4 linked regions of the Nothobranchius furzeri genome follow. The main gene of each other region encodes a partner of the protein of the gene in region 3 in a complex. Links are inferred from orthologs where the notes say so. Each region holds a gene or a part of one and is shown on either strand. Other genes may lie near its edges.

Region 1 (5,065 bases), on a different chromosome or scaffold from region 3:
ACAAGACGACACGCTATATTTGCCACTTAATCAATCTAGATGCGCAGATGACACGCTCTACTATGCATGACTGGGCGTCTTGGCAGGTACAGCAGACGTCTGTGTCAGCTGCTGCAGCTGCCGCCGGGCGTCAGGTGAGTGTTGACTCAACCAGCCTGTGACAACACACCTGACCCTCCCACCTGGGACCAACAGAGCAAGCAGGTCCCACAGGTAGACACACCTGAAAGCCGGCCAAACAGGAGGCCAAATGGCAGCTTTTACAATGCGTTACTCTCGTTACACGCCTTCTTACTGGCAGGAAACGACATTTACCTTTAACAATCACCACCATAGATTCTAGAGCAAGTAAAACAGTAAAATCCATGAAAGGTAAATACAAACACAAAGCTGCTAAGCAACGTGGGAACAAAGCGAGCTGCTGAACTAAAACACACCTAGCATCTTATTGCAAAACCGTATCTAGCAGAAAAAGGGGTTGAGCTATAAATACACTCAAGTGACTTTGGAAGCAGTACAAATATATTAAAAGCAGCATTAGGTCATTTTAATCAGAGGGTAAGAGATATCACAGGCTTGTGGCCTAAAGAACACACTCACGCAGGAATTTCAAACTTAAACCACAAAACGAGTTCACACAGGAAAATTATCAGTGAAACTAAAACAACAGACTCATAATAATAAAATGTAAAGGAAAAAATCTAAATGAATCAAAAATAATTCAAGATGGATCTGGATTAATTAAAATGATAAAACATTAAAACGGAGCTAAAAGTAGCATGAGTAGAGTCTGAGGCCATGTACGTAGCTAGGTATCCCTGGCCTGTCGCCGGCATGAAAGTGAAGATCAACGCCACCAAAAACGATCCTTTCAGAAACCCCGGCCAAAGTGAAGATCTACAAATTCTTCGTTGTCAGCACTTTAGGTTTCACGTCAACACATGCGACAAAAACGCCCCAACATCACATGTTTACAGAAACATTTATTGATTGTCCAAACACCTTTCGCATTTAAGAGCACCTCAATATCGGTCCACACGAAGGTGCCTGAAGCTGCTATTGGAGCCTTAGAGGTCCGAGCAGGAAAACCAGAGTGCATGACTATTTTTTTTCCCTCCGGAAAATTTCCCCATTTGGAAGCTGACCCTTATAGAAGAACATCACTGAAAGCTGCATGTGGTGTTAGAACTGTCTATTTGAGTTGTGTCCGACACTGCCGGTGTGTTTTGCTCTCATTCTACCATGGTTTGTCTCATTTACAAAGATAAAAATGAATAAAATTATAGATTCAAACAGATGGGAGTGAGTGCATCAGTGCGACTAGATAGATCTATAATTTCTGTAGTATCTCGGGCACTCTTCAAGATCATAAAAACTTCAAAAGTAGATATTGGAAAAAAAAATCGTGATTTGAGGCACTCCCAAAAATAATTTATTATAATATAAACCGACACATTTCGGTCACGTGCGACCTTCTTCAGGGCAGTTGCACGCTTCGATGCAAAGCAAATGACCACTAAATACTTTTGATGATAATGAAATATTGATTATTGGTCAATTAGGTCATTTTTGTGATTGAAATTGGCAAAGAATAGGATTTTTGCACAGCTTTGTTGTAACTATAATACCCATAATATTTGCACACTGAATTGCCTCTGTGTTAGAAATGTGCTCAATAAATAAAGCTGCATTTCCTTGCCTAATACTCAAAATAGGTTTTAATTCACATAAATAAGCAAATGTCACACTAACGTACGTAGAACACTTGATAAGGTTACAAAGTTATTGAGAATTGATAAATCCTTTTAGGGTGACACAGAAGAAGAAGAAACGGTCTTTTATATAGCGCCTCTCAAGATAAAAATCTCTCCACAAGAACAAAAAATTAAAACAAAATTAAGAAATTGAAAACATTTTCAAATATTAAAACATCCGAAATATTAAATTGTAAAAAAAGTGAGGAAAGGGAACATAAAATGAATGAGAAAAAGGCCATCTGAACTGAAACCTGCTGAGAAGCCACTGTAAATTTATCTGCAGCAGTTATAACACAGTAACAACTATCTGTTAACAATCTCACACACACACACACACACACACACACACACACACACACACACACACACACACACACACACACACACACACACACACACACGATAGATAGCTGATAGATAGATAGATAGATAGATAGATAGATAGCTGATAGATAGATAGATAGATAGATAGATAGATAGATAGATAGATAGATAGATAGATAGATAGATAGATAGATAGATAGATAGATAGATAGATAAGCAGGCTAAGTTCTGAGTAATAAAAAGTTACAAAAGCCATACCTTAAAACCCTAATTCCCTTTAAGCATCGAGCTGGGGTTTATAAACCAGACACTAACCATAATAAACACAAGTCTGTTTCAGACATGTCAACACACCAAAACCATCGCTAACTCTGTTTTTGTGCACTTCGATGATCACAAACAGCCAAAGAAGCTCAGTACATAGAAACAGTCCACAGGTGGGTGTATTAGAGACGAGGAGTTGTAGTAAACAAATATATAAAAGGCTCGCACAGCCATGAGAAGTCCTGGCAGAGCCCTCTCTTTCCTGGGTGTGGAGACGAGACGGGCTGTCTGACTTCTGAAGGCTTTTTGTCTTCAGGTAAGACCAGAAACACAGAAACGGCCTCTAGTTTCCCAATCCCTCCTTCCTTGTTGCCTCACTGCTTTACTTTGTCCGAGCCCGGCCCGAAAAGGACCCCAAACCCCTGACAAACCAGTGAACGGATCCACCTTTGCACTCACCTGCATACCAGGAACTTCCATGGTTACTTCGACCTTTTTCCTCCTCCAGGTTCCTCCGTTTTCCTCCTTTTCGACTCCGGCTTTTCTTCTTCTTCTGTTTCGAGGTCAAACTTGACTTTAGAGGAATAGAGCGAGTGGACTTCGAAGCGAGCGGGTACTTCCGACTCCGTTTGTTTGCAAGAGAATGAAATGGACGGACGACAAAACTGTGTGACAAAGTCCGCATGAAAAAAAGTGTGGAGCAAACAAACGAGGATGACGAGCTGGTAGCCGCCTACTTCTAGGAGGAGCGAGCGGTGGAGCTGCACCCCCACAGGAGTACTACTGCTGCCCCCTGGTGGCTGTCTGTCTATCTATCTATCTATCTATCTATCTATCTATCTATCTATCTATCTATCTATCTATCTATCTATCTATCTATCTATCTATCTATCGTCTGTCTGACTGAACATAAATAATAACATTATCCCTTTGCATAACTTTTATGAAATTTCTAACCATTCGTGATGCATTCAAATGCATCTTGCACTTTTCACTCCTTTCCTACTCTTGCCCCTTTCCAGGCTGCATTTTCTTTTAGCCCTCTTCATTTCTTCGTCATTGATATTATTATTATTATTATTATTATTATTATTATTATTATTATTATTATTATTATTACAGTTTTTCTCAGTTGCTTTGGTGCATTTCTCACAACAGAATTAAACTTTGCACAACAGTTGGTTCAACCTCCACAACATGTAGTCATTTTGGCACAACCTAGTGGCAGTTTCATGTTCATTTCAGTCAAAGGCAAATGCCTTTGGACATGAAGCAGTTGAGTAAGTACAAATGTCTAAAGAATTCACTTTTGACTTGCTATTCATCACTATCTCCTTGCTTTTATCATGAATGTCACAATTCTTTATACTTGTACCGGCTGAATAGTCATTGCCCTTACAACTAATAGTCTTCATTTCATTGCTCGTGTCATTGCACTCAAAATTGTTGAACATCTTGTCAAACAATTTGTACACCCATTTTGAAAACCCTATTTTAAGGAGTTTCCATGGAAATCTCCATTAATTACTTTTCTCAGGTGAACCTTTTCTCACACTAATGAAAATTGGTGTGTGTCCTGGTGACAATCGGACAATGTATGTAATGGTTTGGGATAATGTTAGCTTCCATCACTCTGCTGTAGTCAGCCAGTGGTTTGCAGCACACGACAGGATGCTTAGGGAGTTTCTTCCTCCTTACACTCCATTCCTAAATCCAACTGAGGAGTTTTTCCTCTTCGCTGAGGTGGAAGGTATATGGCAGGCATCCACATACCCAAATGGCCCTGCTAGCAGCTATGGATGCAGCTTGTGGTGACATCACAGCAGAGTCCTGCAGAGGATGGATTCGCCACACCAGGAGATACTTTCCTCGCTGCATTGCGAGGGATGACATCCGCTGTGATGTAGATGAAAATTTGTGGCCAGACAGACAGGAACGTCTGGAAATGCCAGAATGATTTACTGTATCTGTATGTTACAGTACTGTGCAATACTGTATGTACTGTTACATGTACTGTATATTGTTCACATTTGTGCACAGCTCTACCAAAGGGTGATTTTTTGTTTACATGTATTCTACAGTAAACAAGTGACTGTAGCATATTTTCTTTTGCACAATGCTGCAGAATTACAAACACTTCTGTACAGTAAAAATGTAAAACGTACGTATTCAGTGTCTGAGTTACTCCCAAAACTCCCATAACATCTACAGTAACTTTACTGCACATTTCAAATGGCTGTACAAGTAGGGCATAGTGCTGTCTTGAGCATTTTCAGGTGTCACCAAATACTCTTGCAATGGAAAACACTGAAATTATAAACTGTCATGGTGAAAACATGACAAAGCCATTTGACTATCTTGTTCATAAAGATGGTGTCAAGACTTTTCATTTTGATGGCACTGACAGTTTCATTGACATGAATACTTGCTTTTGAGGAATGGATTATCAATTTTGAGCATGTGACGTCCTTTTGCAGGCTATCCACTAGGTTTTGCAGTTTGCACGAATTGTTTTGAGAAATGCACTAACTGCTGTGCAAATGTTAATAGTGTTCTGAGAAACGCACCAAAGCGACTGAGAAAAACTGTAATATCTACACGCTCCCATCTGTCTGCCAACATATTTTCGTCATCATCACAGGGAATGTCAGCTCTATCGATGCATCGGGGAAAGTATCTCCTGGAGTGTCGAATCCACCCTCTGCAGGACTCTGCTGTGA
Region 2 (4,855 bases), on a different chromosome or scaffold from region 3:
GACTAAGTCCCCCCCCAGGAAAATATTTTATGGCATAATTTGTGATTTCAACACAGGTAAACAAAACAAAAAAATACTTCCAGTCATGATACAAGCAGTTTATAATCAGTGTACCACTGTTTTATGAAACAGCATAAAACAGGCAAAACATGCCAGTTAAGTACCAGTGACCCTGATGATGTCTGAGCAAGAAAGAGCATTGCTTTGCCAGGGCCAAGCATGTGACTTCCTGACAATCCGCTATTCTCAGCTGGAAGAGTCAAAGTGACCCGAGCAATTGTGCTGAACACCACGATAAAAAGCGTTTCAATTTTAATTAAAAACTCGTCACAAACCCAGAAATTAAAATACACATCCATGAGTAAAAAACAAGCATAATGGTGAATAAAACCTGACTAAAATAAAATTATAAACGCCTCAGACTTCTAAAGAAACGTTGCTCAGGCTACAATGCCACGTATTCTTCATTTGATTTTAATAAATGGTATATTGATACTTTCGAAAAAATATAAACAAAGATGCTTTCTTTCAAGAGAAGTACGTCGTATAAATTGTTTTTTGTAATTATTTGGAAAACTTAAGAATAAACGTAAAGGTCCAGTTTAAGGTGTATCGTTAAGAAGTAGGTTGGCACATTTGCGACATCATCCAGCTGAAACAAATGCAAAAACCAAAATGGGAATTAGATCAAAACCAATTTTAAATCCGAAATTTGTCAGACGGCTAATCAAGTCCGATACAACACACATGCGCTAAAACGTGTTTGATTTCCTAACAGATCGAGGGTAAACGAAGAAAACACCGCGGCTAACGGCACGAGGATGATGGAAAACAAAGAAACTACCTACAAAGCTCGCGTCTACAAAAGTTGTGCACCAACTAGAAACGTCTTAAGTGTTAGAATGGCCAAAGTAGCATGTCTTCGGTACTTTAGACACGTCAAAGAAACGCCAGCTTGCTATTTAACCGTCGCTCGGTCGTTTGGAACGTTAGCTCGTTAGCCAGAGCACGCTGCTGTGGCCCGAGAAAAAACAAGGCATCCCCACCCAGGCCCGACTTCTGCTGTACACCGCCCGTTCGCTTTGGTGACCCCGCCTGAATTATAAAAAAATTAAATGCGAAATAAGACATTTAAATATATCTCAACGGTTTACCAAGCAGAGAAAAATAATATAAAACTCACCCCAACAGCTTTTAGCACTGTCACCAGCGCCGCTAGAAGCAGCACGGCACATTACGTAGTGATTAGGGAGACAGCTCCCGCGATATTTGACGAAGGCTAGGGAAGCCTCTGCAGCTGGCTCTGTTGTCACGCATGGGTTCATGGGAAATGATGTTCAGTTGTTTTGAAGTAAATAATCGGGCTCAACCTGGGCTCAACCGAGGTTTAAAAGGCATTAAATGCTTAATATGCAGTAAAGTATGCTATTAAATGTTAAAACGGCTTTTCCCACAGGTCTGCGCACCAGACACTCATGAAGATAGTTGGATAATGAAATTATTCAGAAAATGTCTATGCACACGGTTTCCTTGCCGAGAATGAGAAAACCAAAGGATTCGTAAACATTTTTACGTCTACGATGATACGTTTGACGGCAAGATACTTGTTTACGGTACAATCCCGGAAGTGACGCTATATTTTTTCCTCTCGAATACGAAGTTGCCAACAAAAAGAGGGATTTCTTTTGTTATACATTGTCCTGGTTTAATTAGTCATCTGTCTCTTGAGAAATGATCTAGGAGGGTCCGCTGAGATATGAATATTTGTTTGTAAAACATTTTTGTGCGTTTGAACAGCATAGCCAGCGTAAGCTACAGTACGGGCAAATTTTCGCCTGATCAAACTGGTATTTGGAAGCTTTAGTTTACAAATACGACTAGTCACTTAATAGCTAATGGCCTGTACTTTTGAAAAAGTGTTGGGGGATGCTAGGACCCTCCTGGAAAGGCTGAAAGAGCACGATACGGCTGCTGAGGGACTGATCGAGCAATCCGGGGCCCTCAGCCAGAGAGTGCAGGGCATGAGGGAGGTGGGCAATGCTCTTCCAGACAAGGTAAGATGGTCTCTCACACATAAACGTTGGGTGAAAGTATATTTATATTAGAAGGCTGACTTAAGCCATGCATTAAGGATTTGGGGTTGCAGGTAAGCTTAAAATGACACTCTTCTCTAACTCTACTCAAGTACTTAGACATTTTGAGATAGAAGGTCTGATCGTCCAAAAAAGTACACCAGCCTTTAAAAGCATATTTAAATAATGGGAATTATTTATCAAGAGGTGGAACAGTCATCCAACTAGTGCTTAAAATGTATTTTTTACTTATGACATTTTCCTTGTTGCTGCCTTTTAGCACACAGAAGACAGCTCAGAGATTCGGGAACTCACAAAATACAAGCCTCACATCCTTCTGACTCAAGAAAACACTCAAATCAAGGAATTGCAGCAAGAGAATAAAGGTAAAATCCTTACAATGTTTTTAGGTATTTTTAGAGTTCATGTGTTTGTCTGTAATTTTTGTCTTCGCCACTGTTTCCGCAGAACTATGGCTGTCCCTTGAAGAGCACCAGTACACACTAGAACTGATCATGGGTCGATATCGCAAGCAGATGCTCCAGCTGATGATGGCAAAAAAGGAGCTGGACACGAAACCAGTGCTCAGACTACACCAAGACTACGTCAAAGTACACCAACTTTCATTGTGCTGTGAACATTCCCAGTCATGTAATTTTCTGACAGAAAAAGGGGTTTGAAGTTATGCTTTCTGAATCTTATCCAGGAAGTGCAAAGCCAGGTGGAACGGATATGTGAGATGGGCCAAGTGATGAGGAGAGCCATGCAGGTGGACGATCAGCACTTCTGCTCTGTTCAAGAGAGGCTTGCTCAACTGGAGGTAAGGACTGGAATGGCAGTCGTGATGTCAGGAGTTATCATTAAGCTTTTAAAAGGCAAAATCAGTGACTCTAAGGCTTTGAAACAGCTCAGGAAATTAGCATGAGTCTACAAACACACACAAGGCTTAGTGCTGCTAGCATAAAAACTGTTGGAGTTTCTCAGGTTTTCTTGTTTGCTAGTTTCCTGGAGCGTATGGTGCAGCATTAGATTATGAATGAAAATATCTGGACACACCTGAGATCAACTTAGAAACTCTTTGAGATGACTTTCTTGACTCATTCTGGTTAAAATGTTGATTCAATAAACCAAACTCGCATAGATACAACCATCTTGCATGGACTGGTGATAACGAGTAATCTACACGAGGTTACGTTTGGTTATCCGGGCTCTTTCAGATTGAGAACAAGGAGCTTCGGGACCTTCTGGCCATCAGCCAGGCATCTGTGAAGATGGGAAATGAAGAGAGCCACCAGCCATCAACACCAGCAGCAGCAGTGCCCTCAGGCAGTGACCAATGAGTGACCCGAGCAGCTGCAGTCTGAACTGATCAGGTGGAACAACCAACCAAACAGGAAGAGCTTTTTCTTTTTTAAGCACAACCTAGATTGCAGAATAATGTTTGTAAAAGTAATTTAAATTCAACATTAAAGCCATCAGAAGCATTTAACTACCAGTGGGTATATCATTATGATAGATATCTTTATGTACAGTAGTTGTGTTTTCACTGCAGCAATGTTGGGAGTGAATTCCTCATAAACGAACGGAGTTTGACTGAGGTGCTTTGGGTATCACTGGTTTATTTTATATTTATCTAAATGCTGAAGTGAAGCTGAGGGAGATTTATTTTTGTTTAGAATGGAGAAAGGATGAGTTTAATCTTTTAAGAACATAAAAAAGTAAAATGCCCAAAAAGTAAAATGCCTCTGTTTTAAACGCTAACTTGTACACCACGTGTGATGTTGTGTTCATCGCCAAGAAAATGACTATTGGCTGTTTCACAAAACAAAATGCCTGCGCTGGAATGACAGTGGGCAGTTTTTTAAAGAGATTGTAAATTTATAAATGTACATTTTGTCTGCCATAGTTGATTGTTATGCTTACAACATGATAAATACCAGTTTTTACTCTGAATTTTTAGATTGGATTGCAGAGTAAATGTGTAATAGTTGACTGCACATCTTTCTCACGGTAACATTTTGTAAGCATTACTTTTTTGAGTGTTATGTACTTGTGCACTGTTATTTTGTCATGAACTGTAAATGTCATCTCAGGAAATTACTGTTGGTTAAGTGAACATGTTTATGGAAGTGTAATTATTTGTGTAAAATAAAACTCGTTCTGAAAACTAAGTCATATTACCTTATGGTGAAGTTTTTGTTGATAAAACACAAAAACCTTATTTTTTAATTCAGGGTTTCACCGCTAGGTGGTGATTTTAAGCTCTTCTGATTGTGACAATGAGACGTTTGGAAAAACATCGCTCCAATAACATTTAAGTGGGAAAAAGCACCAAAAAACGTTAATTTATTTCAAGGCTTCAAAGTATTTTTATCATTGTCGATTATTTGATAAGATTTCATAAATGACGTGGTGAAATAATGGGAACTGCACCGCAATTTTCTTGTTATTCTAAATTTGATTTTCACAACTTGAATATTTTCCGGGTGACCTAAACGCAGCACCAGAGTCACATACCTGGAGCGAAGCTAAGTCAGGATGTCTGAGAAGGAGCTCGGTAAAAAGTGGGACCGGTGCCTCGCAGACGGTGTCATTAAACTTGGTAAATGTTTCCAAGTGTTCGTGTGATACTGTTACTTTAGTGTCCTGGAAAAGGGACAAAGAAAGCTGTTTTACTGTTTCACGCAGCTGTCATTGACTGCCTGGAAGGTTGGCTAACTAGCCAGCTAGCATGCTAGCAAAGGGCTTGGAAACGACAATGAAGTAATTTGTGAGCTAAACAC
Region 3 (4,377 bases):
CTAAATGTGGTTAATAAAACATGTCTACAGTTGGAATCTGATGTGTTAAAAGGAGACGTGACATGTTAATGTTCCACATTGGTTCTGATACATACATGTGACCCCTGAAGGTGTAGACCGGTTCCACGTCGAACGAGGCACTTCTGGAACACAGAATGTCATCACACCTGTTATTGGTGTTCTAAATAAACATCAATCCTGAAAGCTTCCGAGCATTTTACAAACTCCTTATCTGATCATAACACACAACCTGCTAACTGTATATATGTCTGGAAGCCACGCCCCTGGAATATCTAACGAATCAGCAGTCTGAATGTTCTCACCTGGTTCCTAGTGTCTCATTGTGTTTTTCATTTGTAGTTTTTTTCTGAGTAAAAGAAAGCTGAAGTGTCCCTGGTGAGCTCAGAGGACCTGTGTCTGACGACGTCGTGTAGGTGAGAGAAGATCACAGGAACGACTAAAAGCCACCAACACCCTGAGCTGATGCAGCTCCTGTACCCAGTGAGGGCCCAGAAATCAGAACACATACTTTTTGGCTGGGACGGTCTTGGTGAGGTTCCACAGTTTGAGCGTGTGGTCTTCAGACACTGTGACCAGGCAGGGCTCCACAGGGTGGAACGCCAACCCTCGGACCCCATCAAAGTGGCTCCGTAACGTGTACTTGGGGTTCCAGGTCTTCCTGAAGGAAGACTCTTTACTGGAGGAGAGCTGAGGACAAAACCAGAGTGAGCTCATTTATCAGGAATTCAGACAGAGTTCCACTGAGTTTCATTTCCTCACATCGTAGCCAAAGTCCACCTCATCGTTGGCGACGGTGAGGTCAGCAAGGTCCCCCAAACCCAGCACGCTTTCCAGAACATCATCAGACCCCCCCAGTAAGAAGGACTTTCCCCCAGCAGTGGAAAAGGGTAGAGGCTCTGCTGCAGAGAGACTCAGATAAATTCACTTGTGTCCAAAACGTCCAGACACCAACATTCAGACATGCGTCATGTTTTATTTCTGCATTTGATCATTGGCTGGCTAACGTGTGATGACTATCTCACCCCACTCTGTCCCATCACCAGAGCTGCGGGCTTCCCCCGCCCCCTCTCCATCCTCTGCCGTCACCAAGAAATCAAACTCCTTCAAAGCTTCCTCCGTGTCTGCGTCATCCTCTGTTGCTAAGCCCTCGTTTCCTACCTGGTCGACCATGAGAGCAGAAAAAAAAGTTCCAGGAGAATGGAGTACAGGAGGGAAATGGTGCTAAGTCACAGTTTCTCTTCACATACATTTATTTTATGTTTTTTAGCTCGATGGTGTTTGTCCGTAGTGATGTCGTCCATTAGGTCTCCCTCCTCATCATCATCTTCATCACTGTCCTCTGTGTTCTCCAAGAAGTTGAACGTCTCCAAGTTGTCAGTTGGAATTCTGCACACAAACACACATGTGGTTCACACACACGTCCACTCTGGAGACCATGGACAGCTCCTTCAGAGATAGACTGAGACATCCCAGATGTAAAACAGAACGCTTCTGTGGGTCATTCATCCCCTCTGCAGTAAGAGTGTAGAACTCCTCAGTTTAAGCTGTACTGGTATTATCCTGGTACACAAAAGCATCAATGCAATACTCAGTATGTGTTCAATACTTGTGCAAAACCAGATGAACTTAGTATGTCTGCATCCCTTACAGTATGCTGCATGGTTCTGGAACCAAGTTTTTCATTTTTATTTGTGGTTTTTAGTGGTTGAAGGTTACAATACTAGCTTACTGCCTATGTGTGTATACATGTACCTTTGTTATTATTTTTCTTCATAGTATTCTCTTAAGTGTTTATACTGCAGTAACAAGAGAATTTCCCCTCTGTGGGATCAATAGTCTATCCTATTCTATTCAATGTGTTTGCACCATTCCACAACCTGAAAGCCCAAAAACCACTGGTTGAACTTTACCAAAACCCTGAATATTATGGGAACTTCAGATTTCTAAACAAATATGCTTTTAGGAATAATGATTTGATGTTTTAGATTTCTGGAGATCTTCTCCGGTCCCCACCCGTTATTCGTGACCCTCTATGGAGGCCCAACCCATGTCTCAGAAGAAAACTACATCATTACTCCATCTAGATTGGCAACAGGTCCATCTTCATTTCTTCAGACCTTCTGGAAGTCTTTCAAAGGCCACATAGCTCAAGGGATGATGCAGATTTGTATATAAAATTGTGTCTTTTGGTTCCTAAGTAGCAACACAGTCTGTTCCTGTGTCTTTAGTTTAATCTGTAAAAACAGCAGCAAGACAATGGCCTCTGTTTTATTTTCATTAAACTCAGAAAACTGTAAGCCAGCCAAATATTTACCTCCTCCAGACATGCCAGGATAATCTTAAAAGCACCATTTTATCCCAGTTTCATGGGGCAATAGCTTTAACAACAGTCAGCATGTAGATGAAAACTCAGCTTATACTTCTGAAATGTCAAGCAGGTAAAGGGTAAATAAAAGGGGTCTGAGGATGGAACCTTGCGGCACTCCTCAGATGAGGTAAGATGGAGCTTTACCAATCTTCATACAACATCCTAGTTAGATAAGACCCCTGCCACTCCAGAGCAATCCCTGAGATCCCTACCCATTGTTTAAGCCTGGTTAGCAAGATGACAAGATCAGCTTTGTCCAATAAAGGACGTAACATTCAGTACAACCACTCTATAGAGAACCTGACTACCTGACAACTCAAATTACTTAAGTACTTAGTTGCGCATTATTTTTAAGTAGCAATTAATTAATAATTACTATGAAATTCATAGTAAATATTGATTATTCCCCCACATCTATTCATACTATGAATAGATGTGGGGGAATATTACCATCAATAAAACCAGCTGTGGAGCGATTATGTTGCCACAGCCCCATCTAGTGGACAACTTTTGTATTTGCGCATACGGGTAATTATCGTCCATTCATCGTTTTTAATGTGAACTGCTCATCATGCTGTGATACTGATTTGAAGCCACATCTCCCAGCCCTAGATTCAACCCATCAACAGTGGGGGCAGACAGGCACATTCAAGCTTTTCAAAAGTGTGGGGGATGTTGTCTGTGCCCAAAATAATTTCATGTTATTCATCTTGTTAGCTTAATTTCCATAACAGCGGAGCAGGTGCGAATTTTAGACGTGTCACGCATGTCTCCGTTTTAAACATGTTTAAACTGTTCAGAATACAAATAAAGGCTCTGTCTCGTTAGATTGGTATAACTAAAGGTTGTACTGAATGAAACTTTACATTAAACCATGTTGAAGAGAAAAGGATCCAATTAAATCGTTTCCCCCTCATTTTACAGTCAGTACAGTGCAGTGTGCATGGCTCTGGGGTTAATCAAGTTTAGTTGTTTCTCTTTGCAACAATCTTCACAAGAAGGCAAAACAGTAAAATGGCAGGTTACAGATATTTCCATTTGACTGTTTATTTTGACAGATAAACTCAAGGATGTTGGTTGTTTTGAAAGAATTACCCCGACGCACACTGATGCACACACAGATGAGCTGACATTTTAATCGTTACGCACATCGCGGAGGTAACTAAATCAATCAAGAAATGATTCCCATCAGAACATCAGAGCTTTATACTGGACACTGTGCTCAGCGCGGCTCGGAGCGCCCACGGTGGACAGTGAGCTGAAGATCTGTAGAGGGGTTTGCAGCGCAGTGCAGAACCACGGCGCATGCGGTAAGATTTCCTCCCACTGAAGCGGTCTGGAAACCCGGTCTCTCTGAGGGATGTGTCACTTGGAAAAATGTTCTTTTTATGAAATTATGAAACTTAGGCTGAACAGCGCTTGTTCCCGTGTCTAATATGGAGACGCATGACGCGTAGAGACATTTGATCACGCACAAAGTTTATGTGGAGCAGAAGCGGTCGGGCCACGGCAGGTGAAATGTTCCTAGCCTACATGAAGTGAAACTGTTTAATTGTAACATTAATATGTTACTGGACATGCTGGTCTGGTTGATTAGACCAGTGTTTGATGTGGAAAACACACACACACACACGCACGCACGCACGCACGCACGCACACACACACACACACACACACACACACACACACACACACACACACAAATTAAAATAATGCTGATAGCGTGGACTAGAGGACAGGTGATGGTTTACGTATTTAAATGATGATCAGGCTGCTGTAAAATGTAATCTCCATCCACATCCAGACACAATTATCCTCTATTATTTCTCTATTTGCTCTGCTCTTGTCTGGGCTGACGTAGCTGACGGTGCGCGCAGCGCGCCTAGCGGCTGTGATGCACATTTTACGCATTTGGAGAGGTGGGCTGGATGCTTTGCTTTTACTGGAAGATGGATTTTTTTTCTCAAAAATTGTGCCATTACCATCTG
Region 4 (5,025 bases), on a different chromosome or scaffold from region 3:
CGTAGTCATGAAGACGAGCTTTAATTAAGTCCAACGTATCAGGTTCTGAGCCAAACTCGTCCATCAACACCTGCTGGAAACCCTCGGGTCGTTTCAGCTTACGGAGAAATCAGGTGATGTTCAAAAAGAGCAGAAACGATACATGTACTCAAAAAATAAGGACTTTGGGGATGTTTTCGAAGCTCGTTTCTGTGTAAATTTTATAATCGCTGCTAAACTAAGAAATCCCTGTCGAACTGGACCCCTGGGTGCAGCTGAAGCTGCTGGTGGTCGCAATGGCACAACTCCATCGATCACTCCCCTCGAGCTTATTTGGGTTACATTTTAAACCAAAAGCCTGATGACTCAGCAGCTTTAAAAAACACAAAGGCAATCGCCTAAAAACTAAATGAAACCAGTCATCCTTCTCAAAATTAGATTGTTAGGATGACATAACGCAATAACAATCAACACAAAAATAATAATAATAATAAATAAAACACCGCACAGGATTAAGCTCTAATCAGAGATTACATAAAGCTGGATGAAGATGTGACCTTCTTCTTCAATCTCTTCATCATCTACGAGAGATGATGATGATGATGATGATGATGTCAATCCAGGTGTAGAAAAAATACCAACAGCCATTACGTAAACACCTCGTCTAAAGTTCCAACCACACCTGCCAGAGCGGCGAGGACGAGGCACGCCCTGCCAAATTCCAGCTCTGCCCAAAACGACGTCAGTCAACAAACCGCGCAAGCACAGAGAAACCAAGTCAGCGTTTTCTGAGTAAGAGCAATCCCATTAAAACGAGCAAAGTGTTTCCACACAACAACTTGGAGCGATAACACCCGATGATGAGGAGAAACTGCAACCAGAAATGATGATGTCACACATGATGACTGTGGTTAAAGGTTAAACTGCTTTAGCCGCCCTACAGACGGCTTTTCTTACTGCTTCTGTCTTGAAACGGGTCCCGCAGAGGTACTCTAGGTAGGGCGACCATCGACACATTACATCACTGTCTGACCTTATGTGATGCCACATGATTGTTGCACTCAAATAGGGACAGAAATCTGAATTTTGCATTTTGTTACGTGAGGCAAAAATAAAGAGCTTATTTATGACAACTAATTTTATTTTAACCGAGAAAAAAGATCGCCAAGAGGGGAACAACACATTTTCTCTATGTAATTAACCAATTGATTCACTAATCTTTTAATTTTCCAGATATATTCAGGCCACCAAGAGCTGACTGAACTATAAAACTTCATTATTTAGCCACCTACTGGAAGAAACTGCAGCAGTTTTTGCTGAGAAAGCTGGAAAGGAAGAAAATGACTGAGAAGTGATTACATAGCACATCACTTTCCTTCACACACACATCCCATAACAGAGATGGCTGGCTCTCTGAGTCACAACACACTGCTGTCCTCAGTCTCACAGTCTGATCTCCGTAGCAACAAAGCTTTGATGGTGCTGCTGGTGATGCAACTCACAATCAATCACATCCTCTGCTATTTTTAAAGTGAGGAGGATGTTGTGTGGGTGTTTTGCTGGAAATTTTAGCAAAAGTGCACAGGAGAAAAGATGGAGGGGTGGATGAAGTGGGGGGGGGGGTTCAACTGACCTCATGGTTGTCATTAAACCAAACATATCCTCCATTTCTGTTGTTTTAAGGACTAAATGAAACCGATCACTTTAAGATAAAAAATAAATGAAACCAAAACACCTCATCTCTTTTGGCGGACGGAGACAAAACAAAGCAGTAATTTGAGTCACAGCTGAGGCCAGACCCATGGAGACTGAGGTCTTGGCCCACGGTGCAACGGGGACATTTTTAAAACTACAGGAAGCAAACATTACAGCTGATCTAGAAAAAAAATGTTGATATTTATGATCTGCTCGAGACTAGATGCAGGTAAAAAGATAAATAAAGCCCATCCAAACGTAGCCTTCTGTCGGTATATTCTGGAACCCTGCATGTTTTATCACATGAACAAAAAACAGATCAACATAATAACACAAAAGCATTATTAGAGAATCTGATTAAAGATCATTGCTGATATTTTCCCACTAGCCCATCAGGTCATCATTTAGATCTGGAAATCTGCAAAGGTTTTTTAGGATGGATGGCTTTAAACTGCAGGAATCAGTGTTGGACTTTTGGACTTGGATTTAGCCAATGCAGAAATCTTACATCTAATTTTTCCTTTACTTATCACAAAGAAACTGGCTTAAATAAATAAACACCAGTGAAGTGGCTGAAAGGTCAAACGTCAGTCTTGGAGCTTCTGTGAGCACAAAAACAACCACATAAAGATGCTTGAATTGATTTGTCAGACTAAAATAATAGATCCCAGAGGCCCGTGAGATCAATTTAAACCTATTTTTAGGCTCTAGTTTCTGCCCAAAAATAGTGTACCGTTTAATTTTAATGAGACAAGACTGTCTCAATGAAAGTATAAATAAAAAAACATGTAAACAGATCATGCCAACAGGATAACTTCACATCCTCTGGAAAAAAAAATAAAATTAATTATCGAGTTCATGTTTGTGCGGCACTGATAAAAATATTGTTTTTAAACATATTTTATCCATTAAGGCTGAGTTACTCCCAGGGTTCAGTAACTGACGCGGATGCTGTCTATAGGATGAGGAGGGATGTAAATATGCTGTGTGACTGGAATTAAGCTAGCAACGATCCAAACAGGCGGCTGTAATTAATGTAGCCTAGCCTAAAGTTATGAAAAAACGCACCTCACTATGAAATCTACACTATCGACGCCATTTTAAAAATGTCTGAACGACGATAGCTGTTGCAGACAATGTTAGTTTTTTTTATAACAATTTATTTCCATCTCACCTTTTCACATAGCGCCTTCACTTGTCCTTCGGATAGCTGTTTGCATTCGTTCAGCTGCTCAATCCACTGGTCCAGATCTTTCGTGAACGCCTTTTCGTCCATTGCTGTTTTTTTTTGTGTTTCCTTACCGAAGCGGCGTGTAGTTTGGTTAAAAACCCGCCTCTGCTACCCGTTTTTTGAGACCCTACTCTTTTGAGTTTACAAGCCGGGCAGAGCAGAGGCTAAAGGACCCTCAGCGAGCAGATGCATCCACTTCCAGATCGCTACGATTTGACTGAAGGGAACAACTGAAGAAGAGGGAGAAGCGCCAGCCGGCGATTCACTTGTATCAAGTCGTTTGTTGTTATACAAAGCAGTTCCGGTTAAGACTTTCTAAATAAAAGCACCACGTCGTTACTGTGAATTCAAATTTAAAATAAGCTACATAACAACCAAATGAGTTTTTAAAAAGACTGTTCTGTTTTTCAAATTGCTTCAAAATGTATCTTAAAAGCAGAGAAGATGGCAGGATATGTGTCAGTAAAGCATTTTTAGATAATTGTCAGAAAATTTAAAGTCTTTTCAATTCAAACTGAAATTTGTACACAGTCTTGCATAATAACTCTTAGTTTATCATTGTAAACATCTACTTTAGTTGTAAACAATATGTTAATCCTTAAAGTGGTTAGAAATTTGTGATTTATAAAACATGAAAAAGAGCAAAATAGAAGAATGATTTTTAAAATTAGCTTTAAAATCTCATGTTAACATTACAGTCACAACGCCTTTTCATCACCCGATGCAACAGATCTTTCCAGTGTAAACATGACAATGACATAGCTTGTATTTATTTATTTATGTCTTTTAGCAGGACAGAACAGTGAATCAGAGTTGTGGTTGTCTAATAATATTGTTTTTTATTTTAATTTTAAATTTCTTTATATATAAAGAAAAATATATGTGTATATATTTTTTTCAATTACATTTTTATAGAGCTTGTGAAGTGCCTTGTGATTTTTAGCTATAAAGGCTCTATATAAAACAACCTTTCTTCTTCTTAATTATGCAAAAGTTGCTATATACCAATTATGAATCTGTAATATACCTTTTTTAAAGATTAGCTGAGAAAAAAGATAACCCATTGTTTCTTACTTAGAGTAATTTGGGGACATACAATAGCTTTTATTTCATTTTAATGTTCCCTTTTGTATTAAACCTTTATTCTCCAAATAAAATCTTACATTTCCGGTCTAGGTTTACGTCCAACTTCACGTACAGCAGGGCGAGCCGATGATAGCAGCTCAGTGATTGGTTCACAAAGCAGCTTCCTCTGCAATTTCATTGGCTCCTCATTCATCAAAGAACAAGTTACAACTCGTTTTAGGGAATACGTCACCGCTGCTCACTCGAATTACGATATGAATTCAGTATGTTGTGTATGATGTCCTTTTATTTGGGCTGCGTAAACAATATAAAAATTAAGCTTTACACTGTGTCCACGTGCTTCAGGTAGTGACAAACACACAAAACAGTCCAACAGAAAAACGGCCACATCTGTAAACCGAGTTACATGGATTTGTGTTTACATTCTAAATGTACTTTGTTGTATCTGCTAAATGACATTTAACAAAACTACTCAGATGATGGCACCATTGTGTTTCTGGAATACTCTCGAAATATCTGTTGCATCAGGCGATGCAGTCCACATTAGATGAAAGGGGCGTGGTCATGGTGCTGTAAACATAAGATTAAAACATTCTTCTGATTTACATGCAGTTTCTTTGCACTTGCTTTTGTTTTACAAATTACAGGCATAACTTATACATTTCTAACTATACTTTAAGCATTATGGTCAGATAAAAAAACAAATAAAATGCATTTATTTTTGCCATATCAATCATTATATTTGTGTGATAAATTGTTTTAGAGCATTTTTTTATGTTTTTAAAATTATGCGGTTTTAACATTTTATTTGTTCATTTTCAGTGATTTTTTTTACGTGACACTGACTTAAAAAATCAAATCAAACAATATTTCCTAGAAAAAAAAACATTGAATTTTCTTGACTTCTTACATCCTTCTCTGATATGTCCATGTTTATTTATGTGGTCAGCATGTGGCCAGCTAAGAGGAAAGGACAAAATACAAAATCAACAAATTCTCTTTTTAATATTCACAATAACGTCAATCACCCCCCT

What was found. Proteins that work in one complex are often made in the same cells at the same time.
Region 1: strn3 (region 3) and stk26 share a complex: the UniProt entries of both Homo sapiens proteins name them as parts of the core of STRIPAK complex. The link is inferred for Nothobranchius furzeri from reciprocal best matches to the Homo sapiens genes STRN3 and STK26.
Region 2: the proteins of strn3 (region 3) and sike1 are in contact, whole or in part, in a crystal structure (PDB 6AKL), measured with the Homo sapiens proteins. The link is inferred for Nothobranchius furzeri from reciprocal best matches to the Homo sapiens genes STRN3 and SIKE1. Residues at the interface, in NP_001077362.1 of Homo sapiens: Arg176, Leu179, Tyr182, Leu183, Val186, Tyr188; in NP_079349.2 of Homo sapiens: Glu96, His97, Ala100, Leu103, Ile104, Ser106, Lys107.
Region 4: strn3 (region 3) and ppp2cab share a complex: the UniProt entries of both Homo sapiens proteins name them as parts of the core of STRIPAK complex. The link is inferred for Nothobranchius furzeri from reciprocal best matches to the Homo sapiens genes STRN3 and PPP2CA.

Annotation. Positions count from the first base shown.
Region 1 is NC_091742.1:86,805,072-86,810,136, reverse strand, and holds the start of stk26 (serine/threonine-protein kinase 26), read right to left. Parts: upstream 3,106-5,065; 5' UTR 2,826-3,105; coding exon 2,805-2,825; intron 1-2,804. UniProt on the Homo sapiens protein: Serine/threonine-protein kinase that acts as a mediator of cell growth. Modulates apoptosis. In association with STK24 negatively regulates Golgi reorientation in polarized cell migration upon RHO activation.
Region 2 is NC_091755.1:53,137,992-53,142,846, forward strand, and holds sike1 (suppressor of IKBKE 1), read left to right. Parts: upstream 1-1,750; 5' UTR 1,751-1,895; coding exon 1,896-2,054; intron 2,055-2,352; coding exon 2,353-2,458; intron 2,459-2,540; coding exon 2,541-2,683; intron 2,684-2,778; coding exon 2,779-2,892; intron 2,893-3,289; coding exon 3,290-3,412; 3' UTR 3,413-4,243; downstream 4,244-4,855. Other genes in the region: micos10 (MICOS complex subunit MIC10), read left to right, coding at 4,611-4,674.
Region 3 is NC_091758.1:17,987,880-17,992,256, reverse strand, and holds part of strn3 (striatin-3), read right to left. Parts: intron 1,408-4,377; coding exon 1,269-1,407; intron 1,180-1,268; coding exon 1,044-1,179; intron 921-1,043; coding exon 781-920; intron 709-780; coding exon 530-708; intron 144-529; coding exon 96-143; intron 1-95. UniProt on the Homo sapiens protein: Calmodulin-binding scaffolding protein which is the center of the striatin-interacting phosphatase and kinase (STRIPAK) complexes.
Region 4 is NC_091750.1:60,016,568-60,021,592, forward strand, and holds the start of ppp2cab (serine/threonine-protein phosphatase 2A catalytic subunit alpha isoform), read right to left. Parts: upstream 3,106-5,025; 5' UTR 2,951-3,105; coding exon 2,849-2,950; intron 1-2,848. UniProt on the Homo sapiens protein: Catalytic subunit of protein phosphatase 2A (PP2A), a serine/threonine phosphatase involved in the regulation of a wide variety of enzymes, signal transduction pathways, and cellular events.